Linked DNA regions of Tribolium castaneum. The protein of the gene in region 2 interacts with the protein of the main gene of each other region in a pairwise test. Links are inferred from orthologs where the notes say so. Each region holds a gene or a part of one and is shown on either strand. Other genes may lie near its edges.

Evidence for each region. The genes of interacting proteins can lie anywhere in the genome.
Region 1: the proteins of RCC1-like G exchanging factor-like protein (region 2) and nucleoside diphosphate kinase 6 interact in binary tests that used the Homo sapiens proteins (3 or more experiments, as listed by UniProt). The link is inferred for Tribolium castaneum from reciprocal best matches to the Homo sapiens genes RCC1L and NME6.

The regions. Positions count from the first base shown.
Region 1 is NC_087399.1:8,509,953-8,512,789, reverse strand, and holds nucleoside diphosphate kinase 6, read left to right. Parts: upstream 1-1,404; 5' UTR 1,405-1,488; intron 1,489-1,548; 5' UTR 1,549-1,619; coding exon 1,620-1,831; intron 1,832-1,877; coding exon 1,878-2,038; intron 2,039-2,086; coding exon 2,087-2,229; 3' UTR 2,230-2,233; downstream 2,234-2,837. Other genes in the region: zinc finger protein 142, read left to right, coding at 1-239; enkurin domain-containing protein 1, read right to left, coding at 2,234-2,394, 2,444-2,837. UniProt on the Homo sapiens protein: Major role in the synthesis of nucleoside triphosphates other than ATP. The ATP gamma phosphate is transferred to the NDP beta phosphate via a ping-pong mechanism, using a phosphorylated active-site intermediate. Inhibitor of p53-induced apoptosis.
Region 2 is NC_087395.1:14,163,074-14,166,705, forward strand, and holds RCC1-like G exchanging factor-like protein, read left to right. Parts: upstream 1-1,406; 5' UTR 1,407-1,638; coding exon 1,639-1,914; intron 1,915-1,958; coding exon 1,959-3,023; 3' UTR 3,024-3,045; downstream 3,046-3,632. Other genes in the region: LMBR1 domain-containing protein 2 homolog, read right to left, coding at 1-122, 171-549, 596-774, 822-995; BBIP1 (BBSome-interacting protein 1-like), read right to left, coding at 998-1,186; Chs2 (chitin synthase 2), read right to left, coding at 3,054-3,226, 3,274-3,632. UniProt on the Homo sapiens protein: Guanine nucleotide exchange factor (GEF) for mitochondrial dynamin-related GTPase OPA1. Activates OPA1, by exchanging bound GDP for free GTP, and drives OPA1 and MFN1-dependent mitochondrial fusion. Plays an essential role in mitochondrial ribosome biogenesis.

The DNA.
Region 1 (2,837 bases), on a different chromosome or scaffold from region 2:
ACTTGAAGTTGCACGTGATTCAAAGACATACCGATGATAAAGATATCGAGTGGTACAAGTGCGGGGAATGCGAGTATAAGGCTAAACTTAAGGCGAGTTTGAAGGATCACGTCTTAAGGAAACACGAAACGGGTGATATTAAGTGGTTTAAGTGCGATGACTGCGAGTATAAGACTTTCAAAAGATATTTGTTAAAGACACACGTGAAAAACCATCACAAAGACAAAAATTCCATTTAAACGTTTAGTTTAGATTAAAACATCTAAAATTTTTCTCCTGTTGGTTTTATTTACACACAACCCGAAAAAAATTGCATTCGAGATGAAAAAGTGGGTAACCTGTTGCAAAATGCTGGGGTGTCAAAGTAGTCAAGTATCCGTGACTTCAATCAGTTCTGCCAGGCGATAGTAGGCGGAGCTTTAAAATATTTGAAAATCGAGGCGCCAGCTAGATTTAATATTATTAAATTTTGTAAAATTAATAAGAATCATAGAAAATATTCAAAATATAATAACAAAATGAAAAAACTACAAAACGGTGACATAACAAAATGAAGAGAAACTTTATAAAACTATAAAGTATAATCCTATCTGTTAATCGTTTTCCATGTAATTTTTTAAAATAAATTTGTATGGTTTTATTTAAAAACAATCTGTGTGACTGATGTGAGCAAAAAAAGCTTACTTTGTGTTAGTTGTTATTAAAGCAACACAATAACAAATGAATACTGAGATGCATAACTTACTTTGCAGCAACTACTTAGCAACTTATGCTGTGCAAACTAATGTAGTATTTCATATAGAGGGTGTCTCAAACAAAATTGGCGAATTTCGAGTTGTTTAGAAACAAAATAAAGATTCGGGGCTTCCCCTCAAAGATACATTGGTTTGAAGGTGCATTTCAGGTACACTTTGAATTACCTTTATTTCAAGTACAGGATAAAACTTTTAGGGCCGGTTTATAAAAAGCTTCATCAAATTTTAATTTATTTTTAAAAGTTAACAACCGAATAGACCAATGAAATTGGCGCAATTTGATATCACGTGACCAGTTAATCACGCATTTAATTGTGAATTAAATTAATGAAGCTTATATAAACCCGTCCTTTGTTTTTATTGTTGGTTATGGTATTGATGACTGTGGAAAATAATAATGCAAACAATTTCTCGAAAAATTAGCTTTATTTTGGAATAAAAAATCTTAAAATTTTGCAATTTGCGTTTCATTAAAAAACATACAAGGTTTACGGAAGCGTCATTAATTTAATTCGCAATTAAATGTGTGAATAACTGATCACGTGACTAAATTGAACAAATGTGATTTTTTTTATTTTCCTCAATTTTTTTCGACGACAGCTCTATTTTTGGAATTTTCTAGTTATTTTTTTCATCATGTTGGCTATGTTTTTAGTGTGATTTTCCTGATTCGTTTATGGGGGTTTCCCAAATTTGTTGAACTCACTTGAATGAAATAAATGAATTATAAATGGTAAAACAAACGAAATTACGTTTTTTTGTGTAAAAATTAGGTTCATTATCATTTTATCAGTAAAAACCTGTGACCTTAGTGGTATTACATAACCTCAAAAGTCGCGCGTTTTGTATCACAGTTGTGATACAATGAACCGTCTCGAACTCACGTTTGCAATTTTGAAACCTCACGTCATAAAACAGCCCCTTGCTGTTGAAAAAATACGAAATATAATCCTAACCTCGAACTTCAAAGTGGTCAAATCAAAAAGACACACAATTCAGCTTCACGAAGCCGAATCGTTTTACCACGAACACAAAACCAAATTCTTCTACAAACGCTTAGTTACGTTCATGACCAGGTAAAGGCCCAGTTGGCTAAAATCAGAACTAAGGGGGTTCCCCTAGTGGCCCGTCCGATTTTTATATTCTAGCCCGGGAAGATGCGATCAAAACGTGGCGCCAACTCATGGGCCCCACTAAAGTATTCAAGACACAATTCGAGGCCCCCGACTCGATTCGGGGCCAATTCGGGCTCTCGGACACCAGAAACGCGACACATGGCTCAGGTTCGATTATTTTTATTTTAACAAATCACCGATAATAAATAATTTCAGACTCACCCGAGTCGGTAAAGAAGGAAATCGGCCTGTTCTTCCCCCACTTCGACATCGAACAGTGGTACAAACTTGACGAGCCCAAATTTAGACTAAACCAAACTGAATTTATTAAAGAGAATTTTGTACACATAATAAAATAAACAATCACGCATCAGCTTTAACAAACACTTTGGGTTTTTGGAAAATTTTAATCACTTCGTCGATTCGTTTCAACTCGTCCTCTATTTCCATTTTGCGTTTTCGCTTCTTGAGGGTGTCATTACTGACAGGCATTGAGTTCAATTCCTTAATCAAGGCGGCATAATCTGCAAAAAAAAAACGATAAAACAAACACAATTTGGGGGAAATACCCACTTTCACGAGCCACCCTTAAGTACTCTCTCCTCTCATCATCAGGCAATAAAACCAGACCGGAAATATTTTCTTCAAACACACCGGACTTTTCGTCCTTGGCCAATTTTTTCGTCTCTTTGAGGTATCTCGGGACTACGCCCTTTTGATACTCGGGGGGCGCTTTCGTCGGGTCCGGAGACTCCTCCCGCTTTTGTTTACTCACTTTAATGTTTTTAATATTTTGCTTGATGTAATTCTGCTTGTCTTCTAAGTCTAGTTTTTGCATGCTTTTGGCCAAGGGGGCGTCGCCTTGCTCGCGCCCCCGATGCGATAATTTCACCTTCGCGACCGCCGGACTTGGGTATTTCAGTGGACCTGTTTCGTACATTTTGGGCACATCTTCAGGCCGTTCGGT
Region 2 (3,632 bases):
TCGGGGAGCTGCCTCCGGTTCATTCTGTCCCGTAATTCCGTGGGCACCTTTTGCAGAATGGTCTCCAAGTGGGCGTGCAATGGATGCCGCGAATTAATGGCCAATGAGACGGCTTGTAGCGACTAAAACAATTGAATAACTATGGAAATTCAACGAATCAGTAATGGAACCTCGAGGACATCGTCGACGGTTTCCTCGGCCTCGCACTTGTCCGAACTCAGCTTGGCGGCCTTGAAATACGAATGTGTTAGCACAAAACTGTGGTTTGAGTTGTTCCACAGAGTTCGAGGGACTTCAACTAAAGCGTATCCGAACAGCAAAACTAGGAGGAATAAGCCCCAAGTATTGCTAGCTGACGAAGCAATTGCTTTTAGTTTTGACCAGTCGAGGTGAATCCCAGGCTGGAGGGCCAAGTAAATTAGTAGAACTCCACAGATTAGCAAATAAGAGCCGTAATAAATCGCATTGTCGATTACAGCCGATTTCAATTTGCCTTTGACTGTAAAATCACCAGCTTTGATGTACGATTGCATCATGGGCATGACTAGCCTGGAATTATTGTTTTAGTTGAAATTTTGTGTGTGAAAACTTATACCAAGTTAAGCACTGAGTGCTCCAATACACAGTACGCCACAAGTTCGGAAAAACCTCATGAGGGACTCGACTCCACGGCTCCTCACACTTTTCAATACTTTTATTTGTAACATTTTGCATCAGTGAAGAAGTGGCGTTGTCAAAAGTGTCATGTTCTTCCTTACACTGGCGGTAAACCGTCTAGGAACAAATCTGTGATTGACTGAAACTGACTATTGGTCACTCACCGAAATTACGTCCAACGGAAGCGCGAAAATAATCAAGAAACTGAAATACCAAGCAAGAAGCACAATCAAGGTCACCACAATGTGGTGCCTGAACCAGTTCCCATATCGGTACAAGACCGTCGAGGCAAGAATAAAAGAGAGCAAAATTTTCGAAATCAGCGGCCCGTAATTCATTTTTACTCGTCTTTGGGACTCTGCTGGGATTGCGATTTTTGGGCCTCTTGTTGCATTTTCTCCAATTTTTCCAAAGTGAAACTCTTAAGGGGGATCAGACGGGGTTTGCACAACACCAAGTCCTGGATGTCTTCAATGATGATTTGTCCTTTCTTAGGCAAAATCGGTTTTGGTTTTTCCACACTGGACATTGTCACTAAATGACATCACAACATAGTCATCAATATCGATCGTCCAAGTAATTAGAGATTTCCTGTGGCCGGAAAATTAATCCGCACGTGAAAATTCCGAAAATATTGAACCTTCACACACACACACACGAAACGTCACTTTGACAAGTGTCAGTTGGCAATGTGGCCAATATTGATTACTGGGTTATCACCAATAATTTGCGCCAATTTTCGCCCAAATCATCACATTTGACTTAATTATTAACTGGTATTGTGTGTCCGTGTCGAAATTGGGATTATTAGAATAGATATCAAAATTTTTCGTGAAATACACATGGGTTTGCGTTTCTCCGATTGGCGACAATTCGTCAAGGATGTCGGTATAGCCACCAACCATAGAATCCACCAACATTGCGCGATCTTCAGCTGACTTCACGCAAGTAAAAAAAAGTGGGGTTAATAACAACAAAAACATGTTAAATCACTTGAAACGGGTGATTTATCTCGAAAAATGCCCCCGTGGACGCTTCATGTCTGTAAAACGCAAATACCCCATCGATCGCGACGAGGCAAAATCACTGCCTGTCTTTGACTACGGTACTAGTAAAAAGTCGTACAAACGAGTGTTTGTTTGGGGCAACCTTATGTCGGGGGCCTTAGGTATTCCGTATTTGAGACGCAACGAAAATGTCATGCATCGGGAGACAGTAGACATCCCAAAGCGGCTAGGTTTTGCTGAAAAATTCCCAGTACGTTGTTCCCGCAAGTTTCAATATTTTAATGAAAGTTGCAGGTGACTACTGCCGCTTGTGGCTTCGGTTTCACCGCGTTTGGTGTTGATACCGAATCTGAAGATAAATTGTACGGAACGGGCCTTAATACCGACTCACAAATTGGAAGACATGAAGTGCGTCAAGGGCACCCTTTGGAGATTATTTACTTCCCGCAGGCCATTAAACTACCTTTAAAAAACCCAACCAAAACTCGGATACGAAAGTTAGCGGCGGGGCGTGCACATCTCGTGGTGTTAACAGACGAGGGACTCTTCCTCCTAGGCAATAACGCCTACGGCCAGTGCGGGCGCGAAATCATCCAAGACGAAAATTATTTTTTAAGTAATTACATAAACCACATTCCTGATATAGACAGTAAGAAAGTAACCGACATTGAATGTGGTCAAGACCACACTTTGGCCGTAACTGACGACGGGGCTGTGTATTCCTGCGGGTGGGGGGCTGACGGCCAAACGGGCCTCGGCACGTTTGACAACACAAGTGCCTTCACGAGAATCACGGGCGAGATTGAGTCCGAAAAAATAGTCAAAATATCGTCGCGATCCGACTTCGCGTTGGCCCTTAATGACAGGGGCGAAGTCTTCGGCTGGGGCAACGCTGAGTACGACCAGATCCCCACAATAAACAACGAGCAACAAGTGAGCAACCCAGTCCACCTCAAGCACCTGAAAGTGGGCAAAGTCGTGGATGTGGCAGCCGGGGGCTCATTTTGCCTCGCTTTGAACGAACACGGGGAGGTTTTCGTGTGGGGCTACGGTCTAGTCCTCGGGGGGCCCAAGGCCGAGCAAACCTCCCGCCCGAGGAAACTCCCCGAGGTTTTGTTCGGCAGGAACGACTTTCAACCTAACAACAGGGTGGTACAAGTGGCTTGTGGGTTGAGCTACGCCATGGCTGTGACGAGTCTGGGGGATGTTTACGCGTGGGGGCGCAACATGAGGGGCTGTCTGGGGCTGGGGTTCGCCAACGACCAGAACTTCCCGTTTAAAGTGGCGCTAGGGGGCTACGCGTCGAAGGTGTTTTGCGGGTATGACCACACGGTGGCACTTTGTAAACCTTTTATTTAATAAATTTAAGAGTAAAAAATAATTTCAATTTTATGCCTCCACGTCTGACCCGTTTTCGTCAAAAACGAAATTTTCGTTGGCTTTTCCATTGGGGTACCGTAACTGCACACTAGGCCGGGCTTGTGACACCCGATTTGGGGCTATGCTCATTCTTTGTTGGACGTAAGCAAGGCTTTTCTTCCTAAAGGCGCTAATGCTCGGGTCTAAAAAATAAATCAGTGATGGTTTCGCCCACAAATTGGTGACTTACTGTTGCTTGAAGTGCTCCCTATTTGAGTGACTCGCCTTTGGAACGCTTCATCCAAATAAAATATGGGCTTGTTCTCACCACCACCGCTCGTTTGCGCCAAATTACTTACTGTTTTTCGCATTTCGACCGGAACTTCCGTTTGGTCCTCGTATTCGTTGTTTATACCTTTTAGTTTTTGTAAATCTGCGACTATTTTTATAGGGTCGCGGGACCTGAGTTCGTCCACAGTCATTTCGTCGATTGGTTTGCTGCACAGATCGAAGTCTAATTGTGTTTTTGTGATGATTTGGGAGAAGGTGCCGAAGCGGTGGATCATCATTGCGAAGAACTGGATCACCATAAGCAGGGCGAAAAATATG